Caenorhabditis elegans: one gene and its partner. The protein of the gene in region 1 interacts with the protein of each later gene in a pairwise test. Each region holds a gene or a part of one and is shown on either strand. Other genes may lie near its edges. The genes, in order: tra-4 and slfl-5.

What was found.
Region 2: the proteins of tra-4 (region 1) and slfl-5 interact in a two-hybrid assay, tested with the Caenorhabditis elegans proteins (2 studies listed by BioGRID).

The regions. Positions count from the first base shown.
Region 1 is NC_003284.9:2,851,221-2,861,304, reverse strand, and holds tra-4 (Zinc finger protein tra-4), read left to right. Parts: upstream 1-4,059; 5' UTR 4,060-4,067; coding exon 4,068-4,133; intron 4,134-4,184; coding exon 4,185-4,249; intron 4,250-5,030; coding exon 5,031-5,230; intron 5,231-5,283; coding exon 5,284-5,830; intron 5,831-5,882; coding exon 5,883-6,141; intron 6,142-6,551; coding exon 6,552-6,872; intron 6,873-7,137; coding exon 7,138-7,264; intron 7,265-7,316; coding exon 7,317-7,363; 3' UTR 7,364-7,626; downstream 7,627-10,084. Other genes in the region: comt-1 (Catechol-O-MethylTransferase family), read left to right, coding at 1-166, 1,276-1,507, 1,565-1,646, 1,723-1,838, 1,882-2,005, 2,297-2,622, 2,674-2,772, 3,083-3,139; Serine/threonine-protein kinase kin-29, read left to right, coding at 8,918-8,953. UniProt on the Caenorhabditis elegans protein: Probable transcription factor. Promotes normal hermaphrodite (XX) development, in concert with histone deacetylase hda-1 and nasp-1, perhaps as components of a complex.
Region 2 is NC_003283.11:12,237,023-12,246,769, forward strand, and holds slfl-5 (Tr-type G domain-containing protein), read right to left. Parts: upstream 8,023-9,747; 5' UTR 8,009-8,022; coding exon of another isoform or gene 7,979-8,008; 5' UTR 7,927-7,978; coding exon 7,865-7,926; intron 7,687-7,864; coding exon 7,287-7,686; intron 7,239-7,286; coding exon 7,008-7,238; intron 6,515-7,007; coding exon 5,759-6,514; intron 5,694-5,758; coding exon 5,579-5,693; intron 5,511-5,578; coding exon 5,308-5,510; 3' UTR 4,949-5,307; downstream 1-4,948. Other genes in the region: ttr-22 (Transthyretin-like family protein), read left to right, coding at 4,408-4,576, 4,625-4,890; rad-50 (Zinc-hook domain-containing protein), read left to right, coding at 8,624-8,634, 9,563-9,611, 9,667-9,747.

The DNA of each region.
Region 1 (10,084 bases):
CTCAACCTTCAACGACAACGAAACCAACTACAACATCTCCACCAACAACTCAAGTGAAGACTATCTTGCCAGCTACAGAAGCACAAAAAATTTTCACAAAGCCTCAATATCAAATCTGGCCTACCACAACCCGCCCAATGACAAGTACCTCGCAGGCTGTAATAAGGTGGGGTACATTATTCACGATAGGTAACTAGGTAACAATAGGTAATAGGTAACTAATGGAAAAGTTATACTTTTTGCACCTTTATATGGTAGTTATAGGAAACTGTAAGTTACCTACGTACATTTAATTGTGAGCATCCATATCCGAGCTGTTCTAATATACTTTACACTCAAAATTATAATTTTTTGTAAAAAAAAAAATTCCAATTTGATTGTGAATGCTATAAAGTTGTATGTTAAAATTATTTTTCACAAAACAATTAGGCTGGTATTACCTATTTAAAGCAACTAATTGTGTTCATAACTTAAATTGTCGAAAAAGGTGGATTTTGTCCACTGTTTGATTTTTCTGACATATTTTGTTTTCAAATTTATTAGTGTTTATTTTTATTTTTATTGGAACCAGACTATGCTGAAAAGCACGAAGGAGGCACGTAGGCAGACTAGAAGTTTCGGTTAGGTATTGTGGATAGGTTGATTAGACACGTAAGCGGACAAGCATGACGTAGGCACACAGGTAGGCAGGCAGAAACGTGGGCATGAAAGAGGTAGGTGCGTTAGTAGGCGTGAAACAACCATGTGATTTTGTGCGACTTACATAAGATTTGTCGGCACTTCCAAAATTCTTTCTCCAGCACAATATTATCAACTCCGTTTATCTGGAATTTTATAATGTGCCGCTTGTCGGTTTGCCGGAAAATTTGTTTTTTATTGAACGAATTCGACTGAAACAAAATACAAACGTGCATAAACACTAATTAATGTGGTTTGCAAACAAGAATAAAAAACGAACCAAAAATTAAACGATTGAAAAAATACTCTTTTTTGCCAATTTCAGGTAAGTACAGATTGAGTGGTAGAATCAAGCTAAAATTAATTTTTTGCAGAACCCAATTTTATCTGAAATAAAACTATATAACTAACAGATCAATCAAACGCCAATTGAAAAAATATCAAAAAACAAAAATTTCAGAAATTCTAATTTTTGAGTGCTTGGATATATGTGATATTGACTAAATATACATAACTTACAGTTTCCTATTTTTTATAAAAGTTTAAAAAAAAACAAAAAAAATTGACAAAACTTATTACTCACCCAATATGTTTCAGCTCAACCGAACAATTCATCCGTCCATCATCTATTATCCGGAACAATGTTTGGAAGAAAGTGACACCTTCTGTGACTCCTGAATATACAACTTCTGTGTTTTGGACTACCCCAATGTCAGTAACTGCAGAGCTTCCATCTGAGCCATCCACAATCACAATGTTGATCCCTACTCCACCAAGTGAATATCAGACTGTTTACAGCTCAACGGCTGGAATTCCGTTTATCATTAAAGTATGAAATCACCATTCTTTCATAGAATTAGAGAAACAATTCTGATTTTGTCTTCAGGCTAAAAAGTTCACACGCCCTCCAATTGTTGAAAAAATTGCGGTCACCTCTGCTCCCCACACCAATAAATATGACACATGTGGTAAGTACATCTTGCATTGTCTCTAATATGTGTACATAAATAATTTACAGTTGTATGTATATGATTTTAATTTCAGTTCCCGATCAAAGATGCTCCATCAAACTGAAAAGTTTTGAGACTTCTGATCCTTTATTCCAATACTGCTACAGTCACTCAACAATGATCGACAACTCCATTCAAGATTTGCTCAGGGTAAGGCAAAATTTAAAATTTTTATCCGTTACAATTTTTTCAGGACACCCAAACCGCTTCATCACTCCCACAACACATTTCTTGGCACAGTTCAGTGACCCCGGAAATTGTGCAACTAGTTCAAACTTTAATGTCACTTTATAGACCTTCAAGATGTTTAGTAATTGGTGAGTATATTTCATGTATGTTACTTGGAGAATAGATCAAAATTTTATTTTTCTATGAGGGGCTTAAGCAAGTCACGAGTCAAAATTCATAATGTTTTTCGCTGTTTACCGATTTTTCTGATATTATGCAGGTTAATGTTGTGCCATGAAGCCATGATTTTTCATTTCACGGTGCTTTCCAAAAAAGATTTTCGACCAGGCTCAACTTTGAGTCACTTCACGTGGTGTGGCTCTTTTTAACGTACTTGTTATAATGAAAAATTGATTTGTATTGTTAAAATAAACGTTCAGGAGTATTCACTGGTCTTGGATTACTCGGTGTCGCCGAAAGAGTTGATTCTCGAGGAATTGTTGTCGCACTTGAGCATCCGGCCTATGCTGTTTTCTGGGATAAAATTGGGCAGAAGCACGCAAGAAAACTCACGGCTACGCAAATGTCCAGAATTCAAATGAGAACATCTGAAAGCATCGAAAAATCATTGCCTCGACTTGCAACAAATGAACCCAACACTTTCGATTTTGTGTTTCTGGATGATTTTAAGAGGGAAAACTATTTGGATGATTATGAACACGCAATTCGACTGATTCGAAGTGGTGGTCTTTTAATCATTAACCAGGTCCCTCATTTCTTAATTAGAAATAATAGTTTTACGTTTTGTTTTCTCTAGGCACTCAATGGTGGTGGAGTGATGTCATCGATTGATCACATGACCAACGATGACAGGGTCATTCGAAACATGAACATACGCATCAAACAAGACCCCCGGGTGAGAAATTTAACTTAAAAATTTTTGAGACAGTGAAAGGGGGAGTATCGGTTTTGGGTATTTTGAACGAATTTCAAAATGAAACTTCTGAAAAAATTTTCAAAATGTTTTATGGGGATTCAAAATTTAAAAGAAAATTGGGCTTGTTCTCTCAAAATTTGAGCAGTTTTCAGTGTCGCAGCGCTAGTTTTTGTGAAGTTTCAAAACTAAATTCGTTTGTTTGAGCACATTGTTGGTATATACGTTCAAAATACCCTGAACCAATATATTAAGATAACTAATTAAAAATCAGAAACTTTACATTTTTCAGGTTTCTGCTTCTCTACTTCCATATGGTGGCGGCACCTGGATTGTTACAAAGAATTGATATAAAATTTGAATTAACATTGTTTTGTATGTTTTTATTTGCATTAAAACTTCTCAATCGCCACGTGTAAAGTGGTGTTCTTGTCCTCAATCAATCCGGTTCATATGTGTTCATAATTTTGACAATGAAATTTTTTAAACCTTCATATTTTTTTATTTCCATAATGTTACTCTAAACGGTTAACCCAGTGTGCTAGAGGTAGAGTAGAATTTAAAAAAAAAAAGAGCTTTTATGAAAATCCAGAGCAATATCGCGTGTTCCAAACACTAGAATGTTTTAACAGAAATATTGAAAACAAAATTAAAGTATTAAAAAGCGTAGAAAAAACTTTTTTTGTCGGCTTCCAAATTTTGAGTTGCAAAAATAAGTAAATATATTTTAAATAAAACATTTAAACTTTTTTGAAAAGTTTTACAATACTATTCGCCTATTTTGGTTTTAATAGAGAAGTTTTAAACACGTTTTTCAATGCCGCTACTTCATCTTTAAAACATCTGTCTGCGAAGCCTTCGTTCTTTGTTTGAGGACAGGCGGACTAGAAAACCCATAGCATTAACTCTTCCATTTCGTTTTTGAGAGCGTCTCATATATATTTCAAGGTTATTATTTTTACAATATTTCTATTTACAAATACATTTTTATCGGTAATTCTTTTTTTGTTTTTTTCGAAAATAGTATTTTTTAATATATTTTTTAACTAAATGTTTATATCATATTTCGATTTAGTTCCACAAACCTAAATTATTTTATTTTCCAATCAAATGAATTGAAAAAATTATTTAAAATCCTGCAAAAACCAGTTAATCGATGAAACTCTGAAATTCAATGAAGAGACGCGATGCGGTCGCGCTGCGTACGCCTGTAATGTGCAGTGTTTTGGTGCGCGCGCGCGCATACTATCGACCCACTATTTCCCACGGTTCAGGCAATGGATGACCCAAATCAATGCACTATTAAACAGGAGGACTCCATAACGCGACCAAGACCTACAGAGGTGAGTTTCTGTTATTTTTTTTCTAATCTCAAAAATTCTTCCCAATTTCAGGCGCCAACGATACAAAATTTGAAACAAGAACCGGCGATTGAAGAAGGTTCATCCTCAACAATGGAGTAAGTTTTTTTTGTTTCTTTTTATAATATATGTAAAATCCGAAAAAATCATTTACTATATATAAAGCGCTTATTCTGTGTGTCCATAGTTTGTAGTCTATGTGGTCTTTGTAGTCTGTGAAGTTTTGGCTTCTGTAGGGATAGTGAGTTAGGGTTAGTGTAGGGATATAGTCGGGGTACTGTAGTGGTACAATTGTGGTACGGTAGGAATACTGTAGGGTGACGGTAGTTTCATAAAAAATCAATTTTCAGCCCCAGAAGTCGGGGGCCGCGCCGAAGGTGCGGTCCACGGCTGGTTAATCTATATTTGAATTTCGTAATGAAATTTCTCAAAATATTTTTATGTCGGTTCAAAAACAGCCAAACTAGCTGAAATCCTTAATTTTGTCAACTTGTTTTGTGTCGCAGAGGTCGGAAATTTTCTTTTTTGGAATTATAAAATTTTATTGCATATTTTGATAGTACTTTATTTTGTAAATTTGGGTACTTTTGAAGCCGATTGGTGACCAAAAATAACAAAAATTGATCACCTAACAGTTTTAAATGTACCAAACGACCAAATTGTCCAAAGGGATGTTAATTCAGAAAAGTGAACTTCCAACCGATCAGATACGGGAAGTGACCAAAATTTAAGGTTTTAGGTACGGCTAGGCCATTTTTTCCAAATTTCGAACCGCCATAATTGTGAAGATTTCATTACGAAAATCATTTGTTTGAGCACATATCGGGCCTATACGTTCAAAATATGCAGAAAAAATCATTTAATTAATTTAATTTTCAGTAATATGCTGATGCTTACTATCGACACCAACCAAGCAAATTGGCAAGGCACCTACGACGACGATGAGATGGATTTGAATAACAAGACCGATTTGATTCCATTACTTGAAACAGAGAAAACGACAATTAATGAGGACGAGCTCTATGACGACGAGGAGGACGATGACGACGATGAAGAGATCAAAAAGGGAATCGGTTTTGGTAATTTGAAACATCTAACTACAAGTTTTTACTAATAACGTGTGTTTTTTCAGAACTTCTAGCTCAAGCACTCGGAATGTCAGCAAAGGTTCCTGTTGAGAAAGAAGAGCCAGAGAAAGAACGTGCAAAGCTCAGTGGAGTCGGAGAATTTATGAAGCAAATTCGAGGAGAAATCAAGCCCATCCAGAAAGAGCGAATTGTTCTTGATGAGTTGGGATTTCGGGTCAGAGACCCTTCGAAGTTTCCTCCTTGCCGTATTGCTGAAGTTCAACAGACACTAACTCTAGCCGATCATCAGGATGGAATTGATCTTCCTCCACCGAATGCTCCAACGGATGTTCGGATTGTACGCAAGCTGATTCGACAGAAAATGGTTCGATGCAAAAAGTGCAAGAATCGATTTATCGAGAAGAACATTTATGAACGACATCTGCGCGACAAACATCCAGATCTCTACGAGGAATATATTCGTGAACAAGAAGAAGAAGTGGAGCTGCAACGGCTTGAAGAAATCGAAGCAAATCGCATTGAAGAGCTACAAACAGGAGGATTCATCCCGCCGGAAAACGAGATTTCTCAACCATCTGAGGATCCAAACTAGTAGGTTCAGCAGTTTTCCGTTTATTTTCTAAATTTCGTCATGCATTTTCAGTATTCCCCTTCCCGGAGAAAACAATGGCGGCCTGGTCCCACGTTTTGACTATTATGGAAGAATCAAGCAACTAAAGCGTCCGTACAAGAAAAAAGTGTCGCCGCAATGTCCGTTCTGTGATAAACGTTTTAGAAATGAGTTTTCCCTCAAGAAACATTTTGCAAAGAAGCACGAGGAGATGGTCGAGTTTCAGCAGTGTCTCAAATGTTTTAAATGTGTTGAAAATGATGCAGAGATGGCGAATCACGACTGTGAATTGGTAAGAAACAATACAAAAAACTCTAAAAATGTTACCTGGCCAATCAAAAAAAAATTTCCTTCTATTTTTTTAATATTTCAATTTTGTTTCAAATATTAATATTCAAACTTTGTAGGACTCTGATCATGCGACATTGCTATAGTTATCTCAAAAAGTGGCAAAATCTCAGTAATAGCTCCTGTTGGACTAGGGAAAAAAAAAATCAAAAAAGTGTTGTATTTGGCCATTTTGGCGCCAGGGGTTTCTAACAATTTCCCCACTGGCGCTACTTTAGTTTAAAACCCTCATTTATAACAAATAACAAATACACTTAAATTTCTTTATTTTAAAACTTATAATTGAATACTACATTCTGGATCTTTGTTCCAGTTCAAACTAAAGACAAGCTCTTAAATAATTAATATTTTCAGACTTATGTTTGCTTCGAATGTACTCCGATCAGAAATCTTTGCACCGACAATCGTCTCCTAAATCACCGAAAGAAGTTCCATCGTGGAGCGAACTCTGGTTTCCGCTGTTCGTTCTGTAACATGAAGTTCCTTACACCGCGTAAACTTCGGAAGCACAAGAAGATGTCCCATGTGTTCACAAAAACGTTCCAATGTCATTTTTGCGAGGAGATATTCATTAGTGAAGTTGCAGTGATGACCCATGAGAGAATGCATACGGGAATTATAAAGTTTGAATGCAAAGTTTGCGACTTTCGTGCAAACCGATACACTGCTATGGAGGTGAGCTTATTCTTTCACACATTAACTTCAAGTCAGCATTTGTCATAATAAAAAATCACATGGTAAAAATGACATTTGTTTTTTTTTGAAGGGGTGCTCTGAGATAGGATTAACATACATGTAAAAAAGAAGAAAAACAAAAAAGAAAAATCAATGTTATTACGGCGATGAAATCGAGGACTCACAATGAGATCAGATTATATCCTGGTGCCTGCCCTTTTGTCATGAATACCCTTATATGAACTTTTAATTATATTGATTCCAGGAACACAAGAGAGATGAGCATGGATATGTTTGCGCGATTTGTCACGAACGTCACGCGGAATACCCCGAGATGAAACATCACGTGTATGAAGAGCACGGAGGCTACCTGGCAGCAGATGAGCCGACAGGTATCACTGAAAAACGAATGACAGAATTTTTAAAATTGAATTTTAATTACAGCATACGTGGAGACTCCGCGGATGTGGATACTCTACAAAGGCGAGTGAAACTTCTTCATCATCACAGATCTTCATCAAAACTACCACACTTTCATTTGATACATTTTTTTTTCAATTTTTTGTTTGTTTTTGTTTCACTTCCCGATTATGTTAAAAAGGGTTTAATTTTGTCATTTAATGTTGATTGTACTATTACTGTAACACCTCTTACTTTTTTTCAGACCATGGACGTGTTTTAATGTTTTAATCTAGCGTGCTATCAATCATTCAACTTTATTCATGATATACACACAAATAAATCAGGTTACTATATGTAGATATTTTGAAATTTATGACATAGTTCACATTGAATTGCTGAACCTTTCGCTTTTTTGTTTTTTTTTTGCATTTTTGTTACCATGATAACTTACAGGAAATGCTCAGGTGGTAGGACGGTAGCAATCATGAGAAATACAAGTCCTGCCTCCCTTTAGGTTCCCACAACCTTAACGGAAAATATTGGCCACAGTCACTGGCTTGGACGTGGCTTAAAATAAAGCCTAGTGGGAGTACCACCGGGCAGTGTACTTGACTTTCAGATGCGCGGTGCATGGCGCTTCACGTGGTGTGTGGCTGTGCCATCAGGGTTTGATCTACAAAAAATGCGGGAATTTTTTGCCTTTAAAAATTTGACGAGAACTCTGCGTCTCACCTCCCGCATTTTTTGTAGATCTACATAAAGCAAACCAAAATGGGACAATCTAACACCACGTGGTGCTTGAAGAACGGATCAAACTTGAATCCTTCAATGTTTTTAATTTCAAGTATTTTTAATTGGAAAAGTTATAGTTCCATTGGCATTTTTTATTTTAGAGTCCTAACTATCAATCAACTTTTTTATAACATATACACATATAAGTCAAGTGACTATAATTTGAAATTTATTACAATGCTCATATACAAATGCTGAATGATTTTTATCATTATAAAAACTACGTGAATTAATTTGTTGGTGGTTTAAAAGTTTATTTTCTTGAACTTGCTCAAGCAGTGCGATCTCCGCCGCCCGGTTGAGCTCCTCAAGGCATTGTATGAGTCAGTGTGAGAGATCAGCAAGAAGCGACGAGAGTTCTTAACGGGACCCGGGCACGCGTGGAGAAAGAGAGAGACGCAAATCCGAGACATTGAGAAAAAGAGACAGTGGTCGCTGGACGGGTGCGTTTTTCCTGTGTATGTGTGTCTGTTTGTGTGTGTGTGCGTGTGTGCGGGCCCCCCGCTGCCTTAGTCCAAAGTGTGAGAGTGAGAGAGAGGATGGTGGGAGAAGATGGGAAAAAAGCGGCGCGGAAAATCGAGAAACACAGTGCGGGAAAGAAAGCGAATAGGAATTGTGTGCGAGCGCGCCATGGCGGTGAGCGTTATTGAGTGTATTGGAAGGCGAGCGTGAGAGAAGAAGAGACGCCGAGGCGGCGGCGGAGGCGGCGGCAATGAGCGTTAGTGAGTGAGTGGGTGAGTGAGAGCGTGTATGTATGTATATGTGCGTCTGGTGGTAAAACTCTATGCACTCTCTGTTTTAACTTACGACACTATCTTGTCGCATTCAGGCGCCGCCACACCAACACTGCAATGGCTGCGCCACGGCGGCGTATGGGCCTTGAAAAGGTGGGTGTTCTTCTCTCTGTTCCATTCTTTGTTCTCAATTTCCCTTCCCCACACACACAAAACACCCACACTTAATTGAATGGTGCCTAGTTAATTGACTTGTTCGGCGTGCGATTGCACTTTATTTTTTCTCCCCATTCATTTAAGGTCACACAATTTACATAAAATATGTATGTAAAAACATTGCGCAATCTACCGTGAGAAGGTGCGTTTTGTCGTTTTTGTTTCCCGCCATAGAACAGTCTTTTTCTGATTTTATCGTTTAATGCCCAAGCAAATTCCCACGCATCCGTTCGACAGTCGGCAATAAATCAACGAGCGCCGAGAGTTTAACGGCAGAACATAAAGATGGATGCTTGAGAGTTTTTCTTTTTTTTTCGTCCGACAAATTTTTGCACAGCATTTTTGACCGCTTTACGTCATGCAACGTTTTTAGCAAGAAGTTAAAAAAATAAAATAGATTAAAAGTGGAGTAGCGTCAGTTGTGAATTTAAAAAATTGCTATCTCACCACACCACAGTAATCAAATAACAGTTAAAAACATTTTTAAAAAAGTTGAATTTTATGATTTTTTGAAAATTGGAAAAAATCCCAGTTTTCGCCACTTTTTGGAAGTTGTCGATAAAAAAAGGTTTTTAACAAATTCTCCACTGGCGCTACTCCACCTTTAAAACAATGTTCCATAAAAAAACCTGCGTAGTTTTTTTTTTGGAAAAAAAATCATTACTTCCTTTCATGTTAGTTGGTTTCCGATGCGATTATGCAGTTGCATAAAAAATCTTTCCCACATTTTCTAAATTTAAGATTCTCCATTGCATTCGAATTACTATGGAAACAAAGTGCAGATAAACCGTAAAACGTAAAAAGTTTATTTTCTTAAAAATTCAAAATTTCCTTGACGAAGAGTGTTGCAATTTCGATTCTGCCAAAACACAACTTAAACCGATGTTATTGAACTTTCATTGATGGAAAATGTGGTAAAACAGCATATTACACAATCATTTCACGTAGCCAATTGATTTAATTCGAAGTGATAGTAGGACTGTTTGCATGATCAAAGTTTGACAAACTTGTATTCGAATAGATATTTTGCCTGACTAGCAACCCTTCAAATTGCGGTGGTGATGTTCA
Region 2 (9,747 bases), on another chromosome or scaffold:
TATTAGGACATCTCCAAATGGAGTAAGTTACTGAATCAAAAAAAAGTTAACGCCTATTTCCAGACTGAATACAATATTTATGACTATTCGAGTGATGAAAAAGCAGAAATAATATGGGCGGTAGCAATTGGAACTGTACTAGGAACTGTTCCATATAATTGGTGCTATGTTAAATTTGGAGCAAGGTAAATATTTTTGGAAGTAATTTCTAATACATATTAACATTATTCCAATAGGTTCACATTTCTCTCGGCTGGAATTCTCTCATTTATATCGACTGTATTAATTCCCACAATGGCTTCAACCAACTTCTATCTACTTTTAATCATTCGATTTTTTCAAGGAATTTCTTATGCAGCAGACTTTGCAGTTATTGGAATAATTTGTATGAAATGGGCTCCGCTTGACGAGAACGCATTTTTCGTCTCTGCTCTAACGATATTCTCACCGTTTGCCACCTCAATTACGGATTCGTTAACGGGATGGGTAGGTTCACTAGAATTAGTATAAAATTTAAAGTTTTGAATTTTTATTACTTACTAAAGGCAGCATAAGTGGGAAGAACTAATTCACTAATTGTTCAGTTTCCCATATTTTAGTTCTGCACAACATCTTTTGGATGGGAATCTTCATTTTACGTACACTCGATTGCTAGTGTTATCTGTTTTATTTTATGGGTTTTTTTATTCGGATAATCCAGCGACTCATCGATTTGTTGGGACTCGAGAATTGGAACATATTCAAGATGGAAAATCACTTGAACATTATGAAACTAAAAGGTATTAGTTTATCAAAAACGTATAACCAGCCGAAACTTCAGAATAATACCATACTTTGCAATGATAAAGAATCCGGCAATAATTTGTTGCTGGTTCAATGCTTTCATGGATTTATCAATGTCAATCCTTCTGATAACCTACTCTCCAATATATTTCAATCAAGTTTTGAAATTTACAATCGAACAAACTGGATTTATTATCAGTATAACCAATTTTGCACAGATCCCTTTCAAATTACTCGCTGCGTATATTAGTGATAAAGTTACATTTATTAGTCCTCGTACTAAAATGCTAATTTTCAATTTTATATCATGTGGTATTGTGTCTATTCTATTTGGAATCGTTGGATTTGTTGATGAAGCTCATCGCTGGTGGGCTATGACCTTGGTTACAGCTGTTAACTGTTCGTTTTGAAATTATTTTTGAAAACTATGGTATATGTTTAGGTATGATGTCTACAAACTGTGGTGGATATTATCAATGTGCAAGATACGTGGCATTACAGTATGCGGACGTCGTGATTGCTGCAATACAATTTTGCAAAGCAATTGCATTATTCTTTGTTCCAGCATTAGTAGCTCTGACAGTTCACGATGAGAATAGCCGGGCACAATGGGCAACTGCGTTTTGTATTAATTCAGGCCTATTGCTTGTGGTAGGTGAACATTTTAGTCTAAATAATAAATTTTTAAATTATTTCAGGCAACGTTCACCTCATTTTTTTTCTTCTCGGATAAACCAGCTGATTTTACAATCACAAAAAAAGCGGATGATGCAGAACAATGTTGCAAACTATAGAAAATAATATACTTTTGATAAATAATGTACATACATATTTTCACAACTAAACTTCTCGTTTTTAGCACAATTTTATTCAAATATAAGTTTTTCAGAAGCTTAAATTTTGAAATTGTTATCTGGAAAGCGGAGTTTACAATCCGAAACTTTACTTTTTGTCTCAAACTATAAAATTGCTGCTATATAATTATAATTGGTAATTATAGCTGTTAGGGAGATATATGTATCACGAGAAAGTTGTTTATAAAGCTCATGGTAAAAACATTTTCACTTTCAAACAAAACACTAAAACAAATTTTGCCAACTCTCACTTTTCCTTTGGTTTTCATTTGAAAAAAATGAACGATGAGTTAGACATAGACACATTGTATTCAATTATTCTTCTCTCTGATTATTTTCTAAAAGCCCAACTAATATTATCAATAATATCATTAGTTTTGACTATTCCACATATTTTTATTTTAACGAGAAGCTCAATAAGAACATCAAGTACAAATTGTTTATTAATTGGCATCGCAATTTCTGACTTGTTTTTGCATTTGGGAAACTAAATGATAGAATTGAACTAGATTGGTATTTTCTTGATCCATGCGTGTTCAATAGTTCTTATTACGTCAATATTTATTTTCTTGTTAAAGACTTTTTGAAGGATACTTTTGAAAAATCTTCTTTTTCCTTGGGATTATTTTTAGCATTAATCCGATTTATTCTCATGAAACTTTCTGGTGATGCTCCGACTTTGTCAAGTAACTCATTTGGATATTTATTGGTAGTCGGTGTAATTCTGATCAGTTCCCTTCCTTCTGGTATCTATTATACAGGATATGATTTGATTGGTGCACCATGGGATGAAAAGTGAGAAAGATTCATTTTACAAAGAACCTTGAAGTAACGTTTATCTTTCAGTTGCACGGGAGTACCAGAAAACTTCACTAATATGTTTTACGATCACCAGATTGGAGAACATCCTATTATTTCGATAGACAATTATCGATACACAACTGGGAGTTTTCGGGTAGGAAGACTTTAAAATTTTTTTTTGGATTTTGCTTTACGCTTTCTAGGATATAGCTAAACTTCCGAGTAGCAATTTGATCTGACAAGTATGCGATTGGAAATCTGAGATTATTAGAATTTGGAACAACTCAAAATTAATGTAATTTTATTGCCCGCAATTTTAGAATAGTTCCGTTTTTTTTTTTGAATCGTATTGGAATTGTTTGAATGATTATTTTTCAAACTTCGAAGTATTTTTACTAGATTTATTAATACAAAAACATAAACTCATTTTTTGGTTTCAGATGATCATCACAATTGTTTATCCAATTTTTGGTGCACTTTTAATGTTTGAAATCATTAAATCTGCACGCTTCGCATCAGTGACACTCAGTAGACAAGATGCAATAGAACGGTATGCCAGCTGATTTGATTATTAACTTAACTATTAAATTCAATTTCAAGATATCGGTCGGGAAGGATGATAATGTGCATGACAATCTTCTACACAATTTCAAGTCTTCCTGGTGGTGCATTTGAATTTATCTGGATATTCATTAATCCACAATTTAATACAATTCTCCACATGGTTCTCTTGTATGGCGATGTTTGGGTTGATACATTTTTCTGTTTCAATGCGGCTGCACATTGTTTAATCAATTTTTCAATGTCACGGAATTATAGATCAACTGTGATGAAAGCGTTGCATATCGAGAATTGATGGTTCGATTTTTATTTGGGGCATTATAACTTTATATTCCGGACCATTTGTAGAATCGCTTTCAATTGTATCTTGTTTTTTTGATAAAACCCCAATTTCTTCCATAGTCTGCTAATATATACGTGATTTGCAACTACGATTCAATTCAAAAATATTATGTTTTTTCGAGTCCTGAACTTTTTCTACCTTATACACTAATTTACGATATAAATTCCTCCTTCCTATTTTTCTAGAGTTTAGAGGTTCGTAGATCCACTTCAATTAATTTGAACTATTTTCTAGAATATAATTTTGCATTCAGTGGACAAAGTCAAAAACATAGCTTCAGATCAGGAAACTATTGAGCAAAAAATATTTTCCTTAATAGTATTTTGTCGTAGTAGTCTTGGTGTAAAGGTGTGGTAGATTCAGTCACGTGGTGTCAGGCTGTCCCATTACGGGTTGATCTACGAGAAATCAGGAATTTCTCGAGCATAAACATGCTCTCAACCATGCGGAATCTGCTGAGAAGTCTGCGTCTAAATTTAAGAATTTTTTGTAGATTGTACCGATATGGGACACTCTGACACCATGTGGTCAGTTCCGTCAAGTATACAAATGAACCAAAAATACTGAATATTTATTTTTTAATCACTAGCATGTTTCACACTTTTTGTAATTTTCAGTATGTTCTTAAAGTTAGTTTAAACTTTATCACATTAAGCATTCTTGTATGTTCGAAACCCTACAAATCAATTACAAATTAATTTAATGTAATCCAAGTTAAAAGTTTTTTGGTCAACCTTCAAAACTATGAAATGTGAAAACTGAGTCATTTCTACCGTTGTGAGCATCATATAGTGATTTTAAAAGTTTTTACTATTGGCGTTTCACCAAATTTAAAATGGACTTTTAGTCGTTGAACAAAGTTGATATTTACAATAGAATTATCTAAAAAGAACCAATTATATCCTTTGTCGTTGATCTATGATTTCATTTTAAGTGACAATTATTGAGTCAGTGAGCAAAGTAACAATTTGTAACGACTATATTTACTCGAACTGTGTTTCTATTTACTTCTTGTAGACAGTATATAAATGTCTTACAAGAATCACTCTGAATTTTGTGTTCACAATGTTTTCAATTACATATATTGCTCTTTCTGTTTTCTTTTTGATTCATTGCTCCGATGCTTTACTCAATGTTATCGGAAGCACTCAAAGTGTTACTGTAACGGGAAAATTGGTTTGTGAAGGACAGCCAGCCAGTGGAGTTCTCGTGAAGATGTATGACGATGGAACGAGTAAGTTATTATTTGGAAGAACTGTTTTGAAACAATTGATTTTTTCAGTATATGACTCGAAATTAGGTTCGACGACCACCTCATCTGATGGAACATTTTCTGTTTCTGGAACATATACAGATATTTTAACATTGGATCCAAAAGTGAATATATATCATAGTTGTAATTACAATGGACCATGTTCAAAGAAAGTGACAATCAATATTCCTGATTATGCAGTTGCATCTGGAAGTAGCTCGACTGATAATTATGATATTGGAACTTTGAACTTAGCTAATCAGTTCAGTGGAGAAACCACTGATTGTATCCATTGAATGTGTACTTCCTAATAAATTTGTTTCTAGAATAATTGAAATGGGACATCTAGGAAGAGTGAATTCAGTTCATTTTTAAAATTGTAACTAAAAAAGCAGTAGCGCAAAAAATGCTACAAAAAATGAATAGAATGAGTGGGGGCACCTGGAAGAAGAGAAAAAAGAGGATCTAGAGTATTTTTGGAGACAAAAAGGTTCACTTAGTGAACAAATATTCAGAATTGTACAATTTCAACTATGTACAACTATTATCAACCCGGAGCAAAATGTAAACACACGGGTACCTAGGAGGAGAGGGCAAAGAGAGAGAGAGTGAAAAAAGACTACAAAAAAGAGGTCTACACAAAATATACAAGATAATTGGGAGGGGGGGGGGGGGGTGGCAGTAAAATTTAGAGATTTTCAGACTAACAATTATCATTGGGTGCACGGAAATACTTTTAATACTTCTCCCATTCCTTTGGTTTTTCCTTGACGAAGAATAATTGGTGATCCTTCACGAATGACTTCTGGTTGATAGGCGAAACACATTTTAACTACAGCCCATTTTCCTGGACGGATGCAGTCTGCATCGTCGATGTGAGTAATAATGGCAGTTGTACAGACACTTCCGATAAACACTGAAAAAGTTCATAAATTATTTCAGAAAAAATCAAAACTGAAAGTTGAAATGAGAAAAAGTACTCACCTGTGGCTTGAAATCCTTCGCATATGTATTTCGTCGAGTGACACAGCAGTAAAAGATTGGCAGTGAATTCGTAACAAACTGGTGGTTGATGATCGATTTCAGCAAGAACCATTCCCTTTAATGAAAATAATCAATATGTTTCACATTTCGAATGATTTTTCTGTGGAAAAAAATACTTACCCTTCTTAGACTGACACCGTCTGGAAGATTCAAGGATATCGATGCAGCTTCACCAGGATTAACACATCCTACGGCTTGCCGGCTTCTTCGAATCGACCCGACAGTAATTTTTTCAAAAGTTCCATCTTTCATGGGTCCAACAAGAACATCTGCTCCTTCATGCAATTGTCCTTCAGATAGCATTCCTCCAACTACTTGTCCAACATGAGGCACATTATATAGTTCCTCGATTGTGAAAAAGGCTGGGAGTCCAACTAGTTGAATACGTGACTCTGCAGTTCCAGCTGTAGAAAGGCAATTGAGAAGTGTTCTGAGACAACGAAAACCTTCTCCGCTCACTGAACTAACAGCAAGAACTGGTACGATACTACCAACGCAGAGTTCTTGTGCCGCCTTCACTGCGTCTCTTTTAGTTTTCACTCTTTTCTCGCGAGCTGTCATCCCTGCTTTCGCAACAAGATTGGAAACATCTTTGATGATTTTCTTAAGTCCTTGTCGATCGACTAGATCCATTTTTGTGATCAGTACAAACATTGGAATGTTTAAAGCGGCAATTAATCCAAGATGTTCACGAGTGGCCCACGTGATTCCTCGATCGGCGGCTACAACAAGGCAAGCGAAATGAGGAGTGTATCCGGTTAATCCATGAATTGTCGTTTTCTGATATTTTGCGTCTCCAGCCAGATCGATAAGTGTTACAAGTTTTGAAGACTTCTCCACCATTTCTTCGAGACTATTTTGTGCATAATTGACTAGCTGAAAAAAGTAAAAATTAGATATTTATAAATAAATTTAAAAAAATCGAATTTAAGTTTTTCAAATAAAATTTTTCTAAATTCATTGTTTTTGTATTCAAAAGTGGAGTAGAATCATTTTGAAATTTTGTTTTGAATGAAAAAAAAATTGACCGTAATAATCGATTTTAATTGATTTTAAAAGTTATAAAATCTTTCTAACTTTTTAAATTTTTATTTTTGATAATTGGGCGGGAATTCAAAAACAGATTTTTATTTTTTTATTTTTGCAAAATTGAAAAAATTATAAAAATTTTATGATTTTTTGAAACAATTATATTCGGTATTACCGTCCATTTTTTTAATTATTTAAATCAAAAACCCTAATAAATAGGATCCAACTTTAAAATTTTCAATAAAGAAATTATCTACAATTTAATCAGTTTACTGTTTTTTTTTTTAAATATTTTCAAGCATATTTTAACCCATTCTGAATGTTTCGAAAAATTTCTAACCTTTCCACGATTATCGAAGCCAATGACATCATTACAGACAGAACTGGTTTTTCCTGTTCGCACTTCGTGTGGAAATCTGAATATTCCAATTCTTGCTTTTCCGTTTCCGTCGTCCAGACAACCCTGTGTTAACACTCCACACAGTGTTGATTTTCCGACATCGCATCCTCCAACGACAGCAAGACGAACTTCGATGAATTGCTGGCTTTCAGGAACCTTTCGGACAAGTACCTAGAAAAATAATTTCATTTAGATAAAATATGACTCAATAATAATTACCTCGACTACAGTTCTCCGTGAATTTGATCCCTTAACAGTAACGTCTTTCTCGGTCAAAATAACCATACTCGCCCCAAGAGCTTGGGCCATCGTTCTCAAGGTCCGAAGTGAATCATTCAGTTCCTCGTCTGTTAATCCAGACATTATTCCACCATCCTCAACGCCAATTTCATAAATAGCCTCTCCTTGACCCTCACGAAGACGCCATTTCATTTGAGTGATCAGATGTTGTATACGAGATGTCGTTGGATTTACTAATTTTGCTTTGTACTCAATATTTCCAAGCTCCGTTTCAGGTGGCAATCGGTTTTCGGTGTCGGAGTCGGAACATTCATCGTTAGTTGGCAGTGAAGAGCTGAGAAGTGTTGGTCCATTTTTAGAGTCCGATATTGATTGTCGTCTGTAAAAAATAATATAATATACTACCTTAAATGATTTGGCGACATTAAATAAATTGAATTGATTTTATATCAATGTTTTAGAATTGATTTATTTTTTATAAGGAATTTAAATAAATGAATTTTGATTTTAGAAATAAAATTTTCAAATGTTAACCACACAATATTTATCGTACTCACCTAGTTTTGTAAAGTGGCTGATGATTCTGCTCATCGCAGAAATGTGAAATCATAAAATCCATAGTGAGATTGAGTTGTTTATTATTTTATGAAATGAGATAATCAGTTGGATAACTACTGCTCACGCCGTATTCGATCTATCATTCGATTCTCCGATTCTGGAACATCAAATTTTAATCATAGGGAGAGAGGTTCGGGTACTTGAGAAAAAAATGTCGTGTTTCGAGAGGTTTTGAAAAGTCAGTTGTTAACTGGTTCGGTCAACATGTAGAGATTGTAGAGAAATATGAGAACTTAGAGAATTGACGTATGAAGAGAAAAAAGTGGGAAAGGGGAGCCGCTGTTGTTTTCGAAAGAAGAAAATAAGACAGAAAAAATCGGAGAGGAACATAACAACAAGTTAAGTTGACTTTTGAACTGGAAATTTGTCAATATTGAAAAAAGGAACAGTGAGAAATATCGATTTCCACGTCGCTCGATTCTATGAAAAGAAATTATGCACACACAAGCTTCACAGTGAGCATGCTGAATGATTGAGCAAATACATGAGAGAATAAGAGAGGAATGAGATGAAAAGAAGCGTTCAAATCAAAAGAAACCAGACAAAATGGCGATTTTTTACGGGAATATGAACCTACTGATTGGCAGTGGACAGCTGGAAGAATAAGAAGATACTGAAGGAAGGTTGAAGTTGAAGCTTGGAAGACAGATGATGAGAGAGAGGAAAACCTGTTTCTTTTTGATTACGATCGGACGGAAATGAGAAGGAAGTAAGTGTTTTCACACGTAGGTGGGCATTGAGATCTTTGAAGGTGCATTCGACAGGTTAATAATCATTCTAAATACCAGGTGACAATGGAGGATACTTTTAAACAGTAAATATATTGGAATAAAACATAAAAGTTAGTCTTACTCAGAATTTCTAAAATTTCAGCCTTCTGGAACGAAAGGTAAAATCATAATAATAATACAAGTGGGGCTGTTAGTAGCCCTAAATACAAGTAAAATGACCGAACACAGCCGTTAAAGAATGTTGCAGAAAATTGCGAAATATTTCCTTACTCTTAAGAACAACATTCGATGTGACGCAATATGATGCATTTCCTTAGACAAAAACGTTCAGTTCAAAATAAACAACAATAAAACCGTTTGTACGATTTCTAGAATACGAGTTTATCAGTTGTTCGGAAAATATCTTATCAATCGTTTGACTGATGTTTTTTAACCATGTGAGAATTTGAAAAAAAATTTCATGATTGCCAAAAATTAAAATAAACAGGAAGCTTTTACCGAGTTTTCGTGATTTTCAGAATGAAGAAATTAATATGAAGCTCAAAATCAAAAGCAGAGGGAAAAGAAAAAATCGAAATCTTCTTTCGGTTAAACAACACGCGCTTGCGGAACTTCGGAGCATCGTATTTTGTTTTTGCGCTCTATTTTTGAATCGGAAACTGTTTTTTTGTCAGTTTTCGAAATTGTTTTTTTTCTGTTTTTTTACTTCATGCAAGAGTTTAACTTTACGCAAAAATTAATTAAAAATACGCAGAAGGCCCACTTTACACAGGAATTAATTGAAAATACTCAGGAATTTCACTTTACTTAGTCCTTTTTCCAGAGTTTCCAACGGAATCAATATATTAATTTAATTTCGCAACATTTTTCTTTGAATAAACCTATTTGCAAATGAGAATGTTTCAGATATTTGCTTATCGAAGCCTGGGAATTGCTTATGGCGAAATTTTTACGCGTAAGTCTGCAAATTTATTTTTACTCTGAAAATACTAAATTTATGAAAATTTCAGCTACACATCAGAGGAATTCGAAGTGTCGGTGATGAGGACCACGATGTTCACAAAATTGATTTCCTCTCTCCGTGCACACTA